2 linked regions of the Macaca mulatta genome follow. The protein of the gene in region 2 purifies or fractionates together with the protein of the main gene of each other region. This does not show direct contact. Links are inferred from orthologs where the notes say so. Each region holds a gene or a part of one and is shown on either strand. Other genes may lie near its edges. The genes, in order: CHCHD4 and COX6B1.

Evidence for each region.
Region 1: the proteins of COX6B1 (region 2) and CHCHD4 purify together in Homo sapiens (co-immunoprecipitation; 3 studies listed by BioGRID and IntAct, with this or other methods). This does not show direct contact. The link is inferred for Macaca mulatta from reciprocal best matches to the Homo sapiens genes COX6B1 and CHCHD4.

The regions. Positions count from the first base shown.
Region 1 is NC_133407.1:152,922,376-152,931,107, reverse strand, and holds the start of CHCHD4 (mitochondrial intermembrane space import and assembly protein 40), read left to right. Parts: upstream 1-3,518; 5' UTR 3,519-3,600; coding exon 3,601-3,622; intron 3,623-6,503; exon of another isoform or gene 6,504-6,611; coding exon of another isoform or gene 6,612-6,672; intron 6,673-8,732. Other genes in the region: TMEM43 (transmembrane protein 43), read right to left, coding at 3,081-3,092.
Region 2 is NC_133424.1:46,907,241-46,915,972, reverse strand, and holds the start of COX6B1 (cytochrome c oxidase subunit 6B1), read right to left. Parts: upstream 4,888-8,732; 5' UTR 4,829-4,887; intron 3,891-4,828; exon of another isoform or gene 3,784-3,890; intron 2,035-3,783; 5' UTR 2,024-2,034; coding exon 1,915-2,023; intron 1-1,914. UniProt on the Homo sapiens protein: Component of the cytochrome c oxidase, the last enzyme in the mitochondrial electron transport chain which drives oxidative phosphorylation.

The sequences.
Region 1 (8,732 bases), on a different chromosome or scaffold from region 2:
CACAGTGGGCCTCAAACTCAAGGGTGAGTGGATCAGGCTTTGGTCAATAACACAGGCATGATTTGGGGTGCATCCACTGCTGATCAAAAGCGTCATCGTCTAGGGCAGGATTCTGGAGCCAGAAGAACTGGGTTTGAATCTATGCTGTGCCACACACCAGCTACAGGGTCTTGGGCAAAAGCAATTTCACCACTTTGTGCTTTCCATTTCCTCTGTGCATAGGGTTGTGGTGAGAAGCAAAGAACATAGTTATTGGGGGGCTCAGGGCCGAGGCCTTGGTAAGCACTCTACACATGTTAGCTAGTGGGAATGTTACCAGATTTCTCTACAACTGATAGTGGGCTGGCACCAGGCTGGGAGTGAGCTGACAAAAGTCACAAAGATATAAAGTGGGGCCCAGCTAAGACAGTGCCCCATCCTGGCACTAGGGGCCAGAGGAGTGATTTGAGTCAGAGTCTCTGCTTGGACAAAGCTGATGTCACGTTCTGATTGTCTTTGAATATCACCAGCCAAGGCCTCCAGTGACCAGATGTCCATGAATCCAGAAGTCATCTTGACTTTCTATACCATTTGGAAACATTAAGGGAGGGAATCACCACAGGCAGGCAGGTGACCATCATAATGATGACAATGGCAAACACGCCGGTCTATCACAGGCCAGCCCACACGCAAGCCCAAAGAGCTGGATGCCATAACCACCCCATTTCACTGATAAGAAAATCGGGCTTGGGTTAAGTCATCTTCCCAGATCACACAGTTTCTAAGAGGAAGAGTTAGGATTCACATCTGGGCAGACTGGAGACTACTCTCCTATTACTCATTCCAGTCTGTGCTCCCCAGCTCTTGGGCTACAATGTGAGTTGAATGTTGGGTGCCGGCTGCAGGCAGCAACAGGAAAAGGAGGCGTGGCTTCCTCTTGGGCGTCCCCTCAGCCAGCATCAAGATAAGGGGCTCAAAGACAGCCTTGGAGGGAAGGAAGAGAGGTACAGGAGGGTGCCCCTCAGGCTAGGGGAGGGATGAGGTAGGCAGTGACATGACATACCCAGCCCACATTCTGAACCAAAATTCCCAGTAAACATGGAGGATCATAAAGGATCTATATATACACACATATTTATATATACATATATATTACATGTATACACACAAATGTAAACACACACACACACAGACATCCCCAGTGACACATCCCCTCCCAGTCCCAGCACTCAGGACTCAGAAGAAATGAGCAATGAGTGGTGGGAACAGAGGCTGACACATAAGCCCTGGAAATGAACAGAACTGGGTTCGATGCCCAGGTTCACCAATCACTTGCTGTGAAGCCTGGGTAAATTGCTCTACCTCTCTGATTCTGTTTACTCACTTATAAAGTAGAGAGGGGAATAGTACCTTCACCATCGGTACTGCTGCTGCTATACTGATTGAGAATTCTGTTGCCTCCCTACTCCATCCCACTATCTTCTTCCTCACCCAGCCTAGTGGCTGCTGTAAATGTATACCCAGCTACTGGATGAATCAACAAATGCTTGGCAGCAGAGGATACTCAAATGCATGTATGTTCCTTGGTGAGGGGCCAGGTCTCAATGTACCCAAGACGATCTCTATTCACTGGGACCATCTGTGCTCCCCTCTGCAATGACAGGCTAGTTTTCAAGTATTAGGTACCTACGACACACCAGGCACTGTGCTAAGCAGTCTCCCTTAAATGTCACAGTAACTGATCCATGAGGCTACATAAACCTGGAGAGATGAAAGCCACACATCTACTGGGTGGAAGAATCTGGATTGCCCCCAGGTCTCCCTAACTCCAAAGCCTGCCCTTTGCAGCATGCCAAGCTGGCCACAAGAGTTTGGGCAGGTGCCTTCCCCTGCTGGGGAAGTTCACCATCTGTAAAATATGGTGGTGGTGGTGATGGGAGCAGACAGAGTCCACATACTACAAACAGGCTGGTCTCCTGTCTGCCCTCTCTCCTGGCCGAGCCTGAGTCTCTCGGAATACCTCTGAGGCCTTTCTAGGTACACCATTCAAGGCTTCTAACCCTCCTGTGGGCCCAAAGTGTCCTGGGAGTGTAGATGATACTAACCCGAGACAGAGTGTACTAGGACTGTGGGTGATGCACACCCTGGCCTCTCAAGGGGTGTGGGAGGCAGAGAGGACGCTTGGGGACAGAGGCGGCGTCTGGAAATAGGGTGTGACAGGCAAGGGGAGAGCTGCTAGGACACTCTACCAAAGCAGGAGGGAGGGTGTGTCTGGGGCTGGCTGGGCTCCTAAGCAGGCCCTAGAAGCACTTTCACAGAGGAGGGGAGAAGTGAGTCACCAGCTTCTCCCACATCCAGCGCCCTGGTAGGAGGCGCTGCTTGGTGTGCTGAATGAATGTTGGGCTTAAATAGTTTCCCGAGAAAGGCTAGTTGCAGGGAGAAGAGGCCTTGAAGGAACAGCCCTCAGCCAGGCCTTCTCCAACCAAATCCTTGCTAGGAGGAGGAGGGGCCCCGACAGTAGAGAAATGCTCCCTCTCCCCCTAACTCCTTCGCTCCCAGCCCAGCCTAAGCTTTTTGCAGCATCACAGCCTCGGTTTACACAGCCTCCCTAGAGCGGGGAGCTCTCTGCCCGCCTGGACAGCCCTATCCGTCCATTGCTGGACAGCTCCACTTGGGCTGGGTCGCCTTCCTCCCTCCCAAGGGAATGGCCCCCTCTCTGAGCTCCCGTCCAGCTCTCATAATGCGCAACCTTGGGACGGCTTCAGGGCCCCAAGATACAGGAGGGAACTAGGAATGCAAGGAGGAGCCGCGGAGAGGCGTACAAGCAGATCGTAGTGCGGGAGCAACACCTCCGAGTCCGCCTCCGCACGAACGCCGAGGACTAGGCGGACCAAAGAACACGGACAAAAGAAGTCTGGACGGTTCGAGAGATTAACAGAGGGATGAGCTGGCGAAGGCACCGACACGGCGCGCAGAGGGAGATGCGGGCCCAGCCGCAGGGAGGAGCTCCAGACGGCGAAACGGACCCAGAGGGCCCCGGGGAAGAGCCCCAGGGCGACGGAGAAGCCTGGGTGTGGCCCGGCTGGCCAGGGGACACTCACATTCGCGGCCATGGTGGGACCCGGCTCGCTGCCGCCGCCTCGCGCTGTTCAGCTAGGAAGTGGGCTGACGACTGGAGCGCGGAGTCCAGCGGCCTCTTGCCAGCCCCAGCTTCGAAAATCCGCGTGGACTCCAAGACCAGGCGGGACTTACTGCAGTTACCGCCCCGTGTGCCCAGTGTTTCTGCGCATGCGCACGGCGAGACCTGGAAACGGGTCAGGGACATTACAGTACCTCATTGATGCGCCTGCGCACTGCAAAGCTTTCTGGGAAATGTAGTTTCTACTGCCTGGCGAGCTGCTGTGGGGCTCGCGACCTGCTGGGAAATGTAGTTTCCGGCTGAGGTGGGCCTGGCCGCGGTTAAGAGGGCGCCGAGGCAGGCGCGCGGCGGGCAGGCCTGGAGGGGGCGGGTCCGCGCGGGCTTCGGAGGCGCCCGCCCTGCCTGAGGAGAGGAGGTCACGGCGTAAAGCTGCAGCTACCGCCACTGCCGCTTCTGCAAGGTCTCAGGGACGGGCTGCAGCCATGTCCTATTGCCGGCAGGAAGGTAGGGAGGGCGGGCTGCCATGGAGACCGGCCTACGAGGGCCTGCGGGAGACACGCGGGCCCCGGCGCCCCGCTACCACGCCGCAGGCGCGGGCCACCCGAGGCGCGGCCCGGTTGCCCACCCTGGGACACTCGGAGGCGGGCAGGCTGGGGGGTCGCCACTCGTGTTTTGCGAATGAGAAAACCGAAGCTCTCGGGGGAACGGGACTGGTCCAAGGTCACAGTGAAGCCCGAACCCTGACCTCAGAGGGGCCTGTGCGTGGGAAGTCGTAAACTAGGCCGGGTTGGGGCACGGGAAATGCCGAGCACGTTGCGTGTGGCTCGTAACTGGGAATGTATGTTAATTATTACTACCGCTCCTGCCATACCCCACGTGTTGCCATTTTGCACGCGCCTTTAAAAGGCGGGTCCCGAAAAGTTGCTACTGGGGGTAGCGTGTGCTGTGCTGGGGTGCTAGGAGTTGTGCTAGGAGTTCTACTAACGGGAATGTTTTTGAGCCCCCTGCTACCTATCAGGCACTGTTCAAGGAAACTTACGTGGCTTGTCTCATTGATCTCGCTGCGCCCTTTGTAAGTCAGACTCTGTTACTGGTCACATTTTACTGAAGAGTAAAGTCTGACACAGGAGACTTGGCTAAAGCCACTCAGCCAGCAAATCGTGGAACCGGGGTTTGAGCCTGGGCATTGTGACCCCAGAACAGCCTTTTCCAATCTAGTGCCCAGTGGATTGCAGGGAGAACCCTGCCTACCTCCCACCCCAAAGTTGAGCTCCAACCACCTAATGCTTCCTTGATGTTACTCTACCCAAGAGCTCAGAAGTACCCAAGCCACAGGTCGGAGGGCCTCCCCACACACTGCCACAAACTGACTCCTTGGCCCTAAGCTCCTACCTAACCCCTCCAGGCCCTGGTTTCCAGTGTTGTAAAATGAGATGTTGGGCTTCACTGATACAGCAAATATTCATGAAGCATCTTCTCTGCTCCAGAGAAGGGGGATGGATGGTTATAAAGCTACAGAGAGAGTTGGAAGTCACCCAGAAATTCTTTGGTGAATACTCCAGCTCCATCAGTTAATTCAAGCAATCTGAAGCCCAGAGAAGGAGGTGGCCTACCTTAGTTACACATCCAGTTAGGAGCATAGCTCAGCCTAAAATGCTGAGCCTTTTCCCTAGTAGCCCTGTCTGCTTCTAGAACCTCTCCTCCTCTGGGTTGTAAAGCCATAAGACTCACTCTTTAATGAGTACTATTATATTTCCGCTGATTACTACTTAATGTGTGCCGTAAGCAAAAGTCCTCTGCCCTCACCACTGTTGTTTTTAATTTCAAGTCTCTCTCTAATTTACTTCATTTAGCAAATAATTTTTGAGCCTTTGGGTATAATGAGGCTGTGCTGATAAACAAAACCCTCCTTCTCTTTGAGGATTTACAGGAGGCAGTTTTCTCTGGAAAGGGAGGCTAGGTCCATCTGCCTTCAAAACATGGAGCCCTTGGCTGGGCGCGGTGGCTCAAGCCTGTAATCCCAGCACTTTGGGAGGCCGAGACGGGCGGATCACGAGGTCAGGAGATCAAGACCATCCTGGCTAACACCGTGAAACCCCGTCTCTACTAAAAATACAAAAAACTAGCCGGGCGAGGTGGCGGGCGCCTGTAGTCCCAGCTACTCCGGAGGCTGAGGCAGGAGAATGGCATAAACCCGGGAGGCGGAGCTTGCAGTGAGCTGAGATCCGGCCACTGCACTCCAGCCCGGGCTACAGAGCAAGACTCCGTCTCAAAAAAAAAAAAAAAAACATGGAGCCCTTATCTTTTCCTGGTTCAAAGATCTCTCTTAGGAGATGAGTGAGAATTGAAAGCACTCACTTATAGGCCTTCCTTAGTATTTTTCTTATCCATACCACTGTCCCCCTAAGAAGTCCCTAACATTTTTTTTTTTTTTTTTTTTTTGCTCACTGATCCTTTATGCTTCCCATAGGATTTTTAAAAAAAATGATCCCAAACTCCTTACCGTATCAGAGCTTATGTGATCTGGCCCTGTCTGCCTTTCCAGCCTGGTCTCTTCCCACCTTTTTGTTGCCCAGCCTCTAACCTCTTCGCTATACCCTTGGTTTGGTAGATCCTGCCTTCACCTCTTCCATGGCTGACTCCTCATCCTTTAAAATTTAGCCTCCTGACCCTTTGTGTCTTTCACATCCTGAACTCTCTGAAATTACCTTTTTTATTTTTTGCCATCTTCCTGCCTGTCTTCTCCCACTAAGCTGAGAGCATCAGATGGGCTGTGGAATCCCCAGCATCTGGCACAGGGCCTGGTGTACAATGGGTGCCCAAATCTTTATTGAATCATGCGTGTACCTGCCCTCTGTCCTGAGTGAATCACTTGCCTGTGCAAGTTTATTTCAGGGGTCCACCTGCTACCCAGCCTTCAGGTTAAACTCCTTGGTTTGGCATTCGAGGGCTCTCATCCTGGCTCCCTGGCCTTGGGCTAGCCACACTTCTGTGTGTCAGCACCATAGTGTTTCTTTCTTAGTTTCCTCTTTCTAATGCAGAGCCTGCCCACTCGTGTTTAGTCAACATTTATAAAGCACATGTGACGTGCCAGCCATTGGGCATATAGTGGTGAGCAATGTGACACATTCTCTGCCTTCCTGGCATGGTGGAAGAGATTGCCATTAAAACATCACCAGACCAATGCATGATTACAGACTGTCATAAGTGACATGAAGGGAAAGCCCAGCATGCTATGATCATTTAGTGAACGGCTCTGTGGGGTCTGAGAAGGCTTCCTGAGGCTTCAGAGATCCTTTTAAATGCCAGTTTTCTTAAGAAAACCTTTTGCAGTCCTCAATGTGTGTGAGCGAACACTACTTAAAACCCTCCTTTTGCACTCCAGGCTTTGCCCAGGATGGTCCCTTCTGGAATGTCTATTCCCTCCTTCCCTCCCTGAAGTTCTTTGTCAGGGACAAAGGTAGGATCCCTCCCCTTCCGTCTTCTCCACTGGATGCCTGTGTCGTATTCATCTGTGACCACCAGGTACTACCACAGAGCTGGAGCTAAGGAAGGTTTGTTGAGCTAAACTTCTAACACTTGCATTCTTCTTACACTCTGTCTGAAAGCTATTTGTGTGTTCTTCACAGATACTTGATTCTGTACGCGGGAGTTATATCTTTCAAAGGGGTTAGATTCTAAACATGAAAGTCCTCAGCAGTCAGATTTATCAAACTCTTAGAAACCCCTTACTTTACTCACTCAAAATATACCACAGGCACCACTCCCTCTGGCTTTAGATCTCTTTCTTGGGTTGAGTGTCAGAAAGTAGTGGTTGGAATTGTATCACAGGTGTATTGAATCAGCTTAGCCAAAAATGAAAGAAGACAAGTCCGTAGTGCAGGTTGCCATTCTCAAACATGATCCTGGTGAGTCAGCATCCATGGGAGACAAGAAACTGCTTCCTCTGCAGGACACACGGGCATTCCTTCTGGAGTGGATATGCTGAGAGATTCTTGCCTGTAAAGATCTTCCCCTTTCATGGGGGAAATCAAACTACTCATCCAAGGGATTTTTTGGTCTTGCTCACTTAATGGTGATAACCATTCTGTCTTCCTGCTTTCTGCTGGGACTGGGTGACAGAGCAGGAGTAGCGTCATCTCGGACAAACACTGGCACTTTAAGTTCCAGCTCCCTTTCTAGCCTCATGCATTTCAAGGAAATCACTTCTAACTACAAGCAGCCAGGAAGAGCAGACAGTAAAACACAGATAAGACACCTCGGTCATAGAGGGAGGTGGGGGAAAGTCTCTTGGGTAACTGCCAAACTTCACCCTCATACAGTGGACCCCAGTAAAACTGTGGGCCTTAATAAGAACATTCCTTTCCCTTCAGGTGCACTAAGATAGGGAAGCTAAAAGCAGTCCTGGGGGGGATATGCCTGCAGCTGCAGAAAGATGTGTGGAAACAGACATACAACTCTGCCTCCCAGATGAGCACAATAAAGAGACACAGAAGCAGTCCAAGCCTCTGATAAACTCTCTCACCCTGAATCCTTAAAAACTCTTAGTCTGTAAGAGAATGTGGCTCTGACCTAACTCAGCCAGCAGCCCACCTCAGGTTTGTTTAAAATAAACCTGTCCCTGTTGACTGAAAAGCCACCGTTCGTGTTTCTCTCCTCTTTCTTTAATTCTTACACTAGGGTCTTCATGCCGTAATCCAGAGTTGTTTCTCCATTCACTTTTTTCAACAAAGATTGAACACCCACTTTGTCATTGGCACTATTCTGGGCTCTCAGGATACTGCAATGAACAGAATAGACAAAAATCGCTGCCTCTGAGGAGCTGACATTCCAGTGGGGGCATCAAGTGGTAAACATACATAGTATGTTGGGTGAAGAAAAGCACTTTGGAGAAAGATAAAAAAGCAGGATAAGGGAGATGGGCAGTGGTCAGGGACGGTGGCATGTGAGCAGGAAGTGAAAGCAGGGAGAAATCGCTGTGAGGGTACCTGAGGGAAGGGAAAGTGCTCGTGGAGGACAGAATACCCTGTGCAAAAGCCAGAGGTAGGCATGTGCTCAGCATGTTCAAGTAAAAGCAGAGGTCAGCATGGCTGGAGTGGAGGGAATGATGGTGGGAGATGGGGTCCAAGAGGTGAGAGATGCAGCTCTTTCTGGATATATTTGAAGATCGAGCCATTCTAATATGCTGATGGAGATGTGAGAGAAAGACGGGTTGGGGTGGCTCTACCAAAAGTAAAACTAAACAGCTGAGGGTGGAAGGTGTCTTGGTATCCGACTGCTCAGTCAGTTCTGTTCTCAGCCCCACCCTGAAGTCCTGTTCACAGAGTAACCCCTCGGGCCTCCAGTTCCCCACTCTGACCAAGGTTCTGGGGTGGGGACTGAGTTGATTCTGGGGGACCTCCTCCTTGTGCACTTTGGGTTCAGCTTTCTTCACTGGTTAAGTCAGAGAGCACTCGACCATCAACTCTCCCATTTCCAAGATATTATTGACATCTCTGAGCCTGTGATTGTCTCTTTTCCTGGCCACGTACCCTTTAAAACTTACTGTTGAGTGGGATTCTAGCTAACAGCAGAAACACATTTCACCTCCCCAACCATGTGAGGTAGGTCAGTG
Region 2 (8,732 bases):
GGTTGAGGCAGGAGAATCACTTGAACCCGGGAGGCAGAGGTTGCAGAGAGTTGAGATCGTGCCACTGCACTCCAGCCTGGGCAACGAGAAAGAAACTCCATCAATAACATAACAAAATAACATAATATACATAACATATATACAATAAAATAAAATAAAAAACATGGTGGTAAAACAAAGATGTGAGGCCTTGTGCAGTGGCTCACGCCAGTAATTCCAACACTTTGGGAGGCCGAGGCGGGTGGATCACCTGAGGTCAGGAGTTCAAGACCAGCCTGATCAACATGGTGAAACCTCGTCTTTACTAAAAACAAAAAACACAAAAAATTAGCTGGGCATGGTGGTGGGTGCCTGTAATCCCAGCTACTCATGAGGCTGAGACAAGAGAATCGCTTGAACCCAGGAGGCGGGGGAGGTTGCAGTGAGCCAAGATTGTGACATTGCACTCCAGCCTGGGCAACAAGAGCAAAAAACTCAGTCTCAAAAACAAACAAACAGGCCGGGCGCGGTGGCTCAAGCCTGTAATCCCAGCACTTTGGGAGGCCGAGACGGGCGGATCACGAGGTCAGGAGATCGAGACCATCCTGGCTAACATGGTGAAACCCCGTCTCTACTAAAAAATACAAAAAACTAGCCGGGCGAGGTGGCGGGCGCCTGTAGTCCCAGCTACTGGGGAGGCTGAGGCAGGAGAATGGCGGGAACCCGGGAGGCGGAGCTTGCAGTGAGCTGAGATCCGGCCACTGCACTCCAGCCTGGGCGGCAGAGCGAGACTCCGTCTCAAAAAAAAAAAAAACAAAAACAAAAACAAAGATGTGATCACCCCCAGTTAGTGGGGTCACTTCTCTACTGGGGAGAGCAGGGTGTTGTGTTCCAGACAGGACATAAAGAAGGCAGGGGCCGGGCGCGGTGGCTCATGCCTGTAATCCCAGCACTTTGGGAGGCTGAGGTGGGCGGATCACCTGAGGTTAGGAGTTCGACACCAGCCTGGCCAACATGGAGAAACCCCATCTCTACTAAAAAAACAAAATTAGCCGGGCATGGTGGCACATGCCTGTAATTCTAGCTACTAGGGAGGCTGAGGCAGGAGAATCGCTTGAACCTAGGAGGCAGAGGTTGCAGTGAGCCAAGATCGCTCCATTGCACTCCAGCCTGGGCAACAAGAGTGAAACTCCATCTCGAAAAAACAAAATAAATAAATAAAGAAAGAAAGAAAGAAAGAAAGAAGGTGGGGAGATAAGAGTGTGGGCAACGTCTGCTTTTCTATCCAGGTTATGGTTGCACAAGGGGTTCACTTTAGAATTATTCATTTAGCTGTATATGTTTGTTATGTGCTTTCTGTACATGTTACACTACACACACACATACAGCTTAAAAAAAAAAATCATTGTAGGGGCCAGGCACAGTGGCTCACAACTATAATCCCAACACTTTGGGAAGCTAAGGCAGGAAGATTACATGAAGCCAAGAGTTTGAGACCAGCCTGGGCAACAAAGCGAGACCTCTTCTCTACAAAAAAATTAGCCAAGTGCAGTAGTGTGGGCCTGTGGTCCCAGCTACTCGAGAGGCTGAGGTAGGAGGACCTCTTGAGCCCAGGAGGTTGAGGCTGCAGTGAGCTATGACTGCACCACTGCACTCCAGCCTAGGTGACAGTGAGACCCCATCTCCGGAAAACAACAACAACAACAACAACAAAACATAATAATAATAAAAAATTTAAATTAAAAAAAAAAATCATTGCAGGAACTAAAGTTTATAACCCTGGCCTGGACCTGAACAGCAGGTGATGAGAGGTATGGGCCTTCCAGAGTAAGGATGTTCAGAACAAAAGGGAGGACGCTGGGGTGGATGAGTCCTCTAGGAAGAGGCAAGCGGTGAGTGACTCGAGGTATGTGGCCAGGGAAAGGTCCTGCTTACCCAGGTAGTTCTGCCAGCAGTTCCTGGTCTGGTTCTGGTTGGGGAAGCGGCTGTCAAAAGGGGCAGTCTTGTAGTTCTTGATTTTGGTCTCAATGTCTTCTTCCGCCATGGTGCTGAATCCTGGAGGCGAAAGGAGTGGGTGTTGACAGGGGCCCCAGGGCCCCTCAGCAAGCCAGACTACCCAGGATCAATGGAAGAGGGCAGGCACAGAAGAATGGGCTGAGTGTGGACAAGTTCCTGCCTCTCAACATACACAGAGATGAGGGGCAAGGCGAATTCACATATCTGAATGTGGCGGTCACGGCAGGGTTGGGGTACAACTCCTCAGCAAAATCAAGCCTGGTCCCCAAATAACATGAGCTAACACTCACTGAGTGCTTACTACATGCCAGGTGCTGTTCTACACACATTACTCCTACTTTACTCTAAAAGGTAGGAATTATTACTATCACCATTGCCCAGACGAGGAAGGAACAGGGTGTCTAAGTGACTTTCTAAGGTTAAACAGCATAAATATAAATGGTGGGCTGCCTCCGTTGTTGGCATAATCTACACTGCAAAGATTCTTAATCTTTTTGGTGCCACAAACTCCTCAGCAGTCTGATGAATCCCATAAACCTCTCGCTGAATTTTTTTTTTTCTTTTTTTGAGACAGAGTCTTGCTCTGTCACCCAGGCTGGAGGGCAGTGGTACCATCTAGGCTCACGAACCTCCGCCTCCCAGGTTCAAGCAATTCTGTTGCTTCAGCCTCCCGAACAGCTGAGATTACAGGCACCCGCCACCATGCCCTGCTAATTTTTTTGTATTTTCAGTAGAAACAAGGTTTTTACCATGTTGGTCAGACTGGTCTCGAACTCCTGATCTCAAATGATCCGTCTGGCTTGGCCTCTCAAAATGTTGAGATTACAGGAGGGAGCCACAAAATCCAGCCTGAATATGTTTAAATGTATTTAAAAATTGCATAGGTTCCATGAGTACACGAAGAAGAGAAAAAAACCTGCACAGCATCACAAAGAAAACCAGTTATATCCAGCTGAGGATTCATTAAGGAATACAATTTTTGCCGGGTGCAGTGGCTCACGCCTGTAATCCTAGCACTTTGTGAGGCCGGGGGGGGGGGGGGGGTGGATCACCTGAGGTCAGGAGTTCAAGACCAGCCTGGCCAACATGGTGAAATCCTGTCTCTACTAAAAATACAAAAATTAGCTCGCGTGGAGAGCAGTGGTGCGACCTCAGCTCACTGCAACCTCCACCACCTGGGTTCAATCCCAGCTACTCTGGATGTTGAGGCAAGAGAATCGCTTGAACCCAGGAGGCGGAGGTTGCAGTGAGCCGAGATTGTGCCAGTGCACTGCAACCTGGGCAACAGAGAAAAACATTGTCTCAAAAAAAAAAAAATACAATTTTGAAGTAATCATAAATGAATATAGTACTTTGTGACATTTGCAGTTATAATGTGATATAAGAATATCTGTGATTTTGGGTGGGGCACGGTGGCTCACACCTGTAATCACAGCACTTTGGGACACTGAGGTGGGAGGATCGCTTGAGCCCAAGAGTTCAAGACCATCCTGGGCAACATGGTGAAACCCCATCTCATCTCTACAAAAAAATATTAAAATTGGCCGGGAGCGGTGGCTCACGCCTGTAATACCAGCACTTTGGGAGGCCGAGGTGGGCAGATCGCCTCAGGTCAAGAGTTCGAGACCAGCCTGGCTAACATGGTAAAACCCTGACTCTACTAAAAATACAAAAAATTAGCTGGGGTGGTGGCATGTACCTGTAATTCCAGCTACTCGGGAGGCAAGACCTTGTCTCAAAAAATAAAATTAAATTAAATTAAAATTAGCCAGGTGTGGTGGCACATGCCTGTGGTTCCAGCTACTGAGGTAGGATCGCTTGCGCAGGGAAGCAGAGGTTGCAGTGAGCCGAGATTTCTCCACTGCACGCCAGCCTGGGTGACACAGAGACCCTGTCTCAAAAAAGGAGAAAAAAATAAAAAAAGGAATATATATGATTTTGATTGCTAACAAAATCACAGCTGCTGCTAGTACGACCGAGGCTGTTACCTCAAAAGGTTAGTAAAAACACAGATGTAATTCCACCCCCCACCCCAATTCAAGTACTAGCATTCCTTGAATTCTACCAACCCTGCGGACTCAGGGTTAAAAACCTTTAATATAATGTCTCTGAAGAAATGACAGTGTTCGTCAGGAACCTGAGAGAAAGTGTCTACTATATTCCAGTGAATCCTAGGAGTCGTGGGGCTATACAGAGACTTGCAGAGCAGTGTCAGATTCAAGCGACGCAAGGTGGTGGTGGGGGTCCGGAGCACTAAAACAGTCTTTCGGTGGGGAGGTGGGGTGTAAAACACCAGCTGCTGGGGCACAGACGCAATCGGTAGGATCGTTAGCGGCGAGATCTCGACCCGGTATCTGAGGATGAGGGTGCATCGGAAATGACGCTGCAGCCCCTCCACCGTCCAAAAGGGAGGATGGACTGGACACCCGGGAGCCAGGCTGCGGCCCAGGCAAGCCGCGGGAGGCCACGCCTGTGAATTGGCCGTGAAGAGCCCTGGAGGACAAACTCCTGGGTCAAATCCTGCTCGCTGTGTAGGCTCAGCTAGGTCGCTTGGTATCTCTGAGCCTGTTTACTGACAAAAGGGGATAATCGCAGGCCCTCTCTCACAGGGCTGCTGAGAGAGTTAAATGAATTAAAGTTGTTTGGGACGTTGCCCGGCATCAAGGAAGAACCGTATCATTGTTAGACCTTACGATGAACAGAACAGGGCCCCGGGGCGCAGGGAGGCCGGACGCCGCCAGCCGGAAGCCTCAACCCGTTCTCAGGGAAGCTGGGGTCCGGCTCCTCGGCCCGCTAGACTGGGGTCCCAGGTTCCAGAACCCTCCACACTCACCTAAAGGCACCCCAGATGCAACTTGCAGCTCAATGTCACCCTCAGCAAAGATACCAGAATCGGACAGGAAGCGGAACTATGACCAGCCGGAAGCTGAGCGAGGTGGGGACTGGAGGAGTCTTTCCAGAGGCTAGAGCTCCCTCGCAGGAGGAGGCAACCGAAGCCATTCAAGCCACGCCCAGCAAGAGAACTACGACTTTCTATTGAGTTGAATGCTTGTTCATCATCACTTCTGGCCCAATCGTGAGCTTGCGCGGCTGGGGCTCGGGCGCCTGTGGTTACCGGGTCTTGTCCGAGGGAGCGTTATAGATCCCTGGGCTGGCTGGAGGGTGGGTGCGGGTAAAAATGTCCCAGAGAAACTACTTTTATTCATGCAAGAAATATTTATTGAACGCTTTTTCTGTGTCGGTTATTTCTTTTCTTTAAAAATGTTTTTTCTTTTATTTTTTTAATTTTTTTTATTTTTTGAGACGGAGTCTCGCTCTGTCGCCCAGGCTGGAGTGCAGTGGCGCGATCTCGGCTCACTGCAAGCTCCGCCTCCCGGGTTCACGCCATTCCCCTGCCTCAGCCTTCCGAGTAGCTGGGACTACAGGCGCCCGCCACCGCGCCCGGCTAATTTTTTGTATTTTTAGTGGAGACGGGGCTTCACCGTGGTCTCCATCTCCTGACCTCGTGATCCGCCCGCCTCGGCCTCCCAAAATGCTGGGATTACAGGCGTGAGCCACCGCGACCGGCCCTTTTTAAATTTTTTGAGACAGGGTCTTACTCTATGGTCTCGCTCTGTCGCCCAGGCTGAAGAGCAGTGGCGCGATCTCAGCTCACTGCAACCTCCACCACCTGGGTTCAAGCGAGTCTCCCGCCCCAGCCTTCCGAGTAGCTAGGATTACAGGTGCGCGCCACTACTCCTGGATCCATATATATGCATTTTGTAGAGATGGGGTCTTGCTATGTTACCCAGGCTGGATTCGAACTCCTGGTCTCAAGCGATCCTCCCGCCTCGGCCTTCCAAAGCGTGAGGATTACCGGCGTGACCCACTGTATTCGGCCATCAGGCACTTCTATAAGGGTTGAGAAAGCACGCTGCACAAAACACAGAAATCCCTACCCTTATAATATTAAATAATTAGAGCGCCAATTGTTAGGGGATTGAAAACGAACCAATCTCTCCCTAGGTGTCACTCGTCAGGGTATTAGGAATGCCCAGATTTTACCTCCCTGCTGGTTACCATCTTTTCCCAAACCTCTGAAAGCACAGATTAACAAAGATTTGAGTGGCCAAGAGCTCAAGAACCAGTCTTGCATCCCAGGCAGGTGGGGTTAGGAGTTAAAGCTTGGATCTATGAAGGGTCTGGCAGAAAGGATTCCATTTGGGAAAATGGCTAACTCTGTCCTCTGGCCACAGAGTTGTCCTTGTTTCCGATCTTTCTCTCACACCTGAGAGCTGACCTATCAAGAAATCCCGTTGGTTCTGCCTGTAACTATATCCATAATCTTCCTCTAGCACATTTGGTTTAAGCCACCATCACCTTCAGACTGGACTATTGCAGCAGCCCACTCCCTGGTCTCCTGGCTTCCAGCTGCCCTCTGCAGTATGTCCACCCAGCCAGAGGAACACGGGTCTGACTTCTAGTCTAAAGCCAATGTCCTTATAAATGATCTACACAATTTGGCCCTTCTCTCCTCTCCTCCCCTCCCCTTCTCTCCCCTCTCCTCTCCTCTCCTTCTTGAAACTCAGTCTCACTCTGTCGCCCAGGATGGAGTGCAGTGGTACTATCTTGGCTCACTACAACCTCCTCCTCCTGGGTTCAAGTGATTCTCCTGCCTCAGCCTCCCGAGTAGTTGCAATTACAAGTGCACGCCACCACTCCCAGCTAATTTTTGTGATTTTGGTAGAGAGGGATTTCACCATGTTGGTCAGGTTGGTCTTGAACTCCTGACCTCGGTCTTGAACAGGTGATCTGCCCACCTCGGCCTCCCAAAATGCTGGGATTACAGGCGTGAGCCACCCCACCTGGCCAATTTGTCCTTTTTTAGACAGAGTTTCATTCATGTTGCCCAGACTGGAGTGCAGTGGTGCGATCTTGGCTCACTGCAACCTCCACCTCCCAGGCTAGAGCGATTCTTCTGCCTCAGCCTCCCGAATCACTGGGATTACAGGCATGCGCCACCACACCTGGCTAATTTTGTATTTTTAGTAGAGATGGGGTTTCTCCATGTTGGTCAGGCTGGTCTTGAACTTTTGACCTCAGGTGATCTGCCCGCCTTGGCCTTCCAAAGTGCTGGGATTACAGGCGTGAGCCACCGCTCCCGGCTATATCTGTTCTTTTAAATTATGTTTACCTCTTTTTGCCTCCCTCAATAGAAAAGAATCATCATAAAGGAAGAATTTTTGTCTGCCTTATTCACCATTGTATCTAAAGCAGTGCCTGGTACACAGGAAGTACTCTATAAATATTTGCTGAATGCAAGAATTTCTTGTGGAACTGAAGGAAGCATTTGGGGACTAGGAGAGGGAGCTATGAAAGAGAACTGCTTTCCTTCCTCCCCTGTCTGGCCTCTAAAGCTTCTCCCACACCATCTGAGGTGCAGTGTCCAGATGGAACTGGGTTACGGACCTCTTCTTACACATTCTGTGTCCATCAACATTGTGGTTATTTGTGGAATTACCTGTTTACATGCATGTATTCATCCCCTGCAATGAGGTCTTCCTAAAACCCAAATCCCTCTCCCTGCTTAAAACACCTTGATGGGGGCCAGGCATGGTGGCTCACTCCTATAATCCCAGCACTTTGGGAGGCCAAGGCAAGCGGATCACCTGAGGTCAGGAGTTCCAGACCAGCCTGGCCAACATGGTGAAAACCCCATCTTTACTAAAAATACAAAAATTAGCTGTGTGTGGTGGTGCGCGCCTGTAATTCCCGCTATTTGGGAGGTTGAGGCAGGAGAATTGCTTGAACCTGGGAGTCGGAGGTTGCAGTAACCTGAGATTGCATCACTGCACTCCAGCCAGAGTGACAGAGTGAGACTCCATCTCTAAAAACAAACAAAACCCTCGATGGCTCCTCAGGAGCCCTGGAGACAAAGTCTGGGCTCCTCACCATGGCCCACAGATCCTTTATGAATTGGTCCCTGTTGCTGCTGTAGCCACATTTATTTTTAAATTTTTTTTTTTTTTTTAACAGAGATGGGGGTCTCCCTTATGTTGCTCAGGCTGGTCTGGAAATCCTGGCCTCAAGCCGTCCTCCTGCCTCAGCCTCCCAAATTAATGAGTTTACAGGTGTGAGCCACTATGCCTGGCCCACATTGATAGTTTTGAGCAGTGGTATGAGATCGTCCACCTCTGGACCTTTGATCTTGTTCCTTCTGCCTGAAACATTCTTTGCCTACCTGACTTCTCAAATCAGCTGTCTCCTCCTCCAGGGCGTCTCCCCTGACCCTTCTCCTCCTGGGCTAGGTCAGGTCTCTCCTTTTGGCCCCCTCGATCCCCTGGAGTCTTCTCATCCCAGCTCAAAACATTCTGGTGATGGGTCTGTCTTCCCACTGGACTGTGAGCTCCCTGAGGGTAGGGTCCACGGCTGTCTTCGTCCCTGCTCTATCCCCAGCATCGCCCACAGGACGACCACACAGCAGGCTCTCTTTAGGAGCTCAGTGGCTCTCAGAATGGTGTAGGCTGTCTTTAGAGTGTTGGTCTGAGTCCTGTGTCAAGCTTGGAGTGGGGAAATGGTGAGTGGTGTTGGGGTGCAAGCACTAGTTTTAATTCCTTGACGATCCCTTGCACTGGGAGGACACACAGCACAGCAAGCCCTTTTCGGAGTCTGAGTCTTCTCTTTAAGGGGACACAGCAGATATACTCTCATGATTGGGTCTGATTCCTTTACAAGTCCTGACACAGGGCAGGCACACA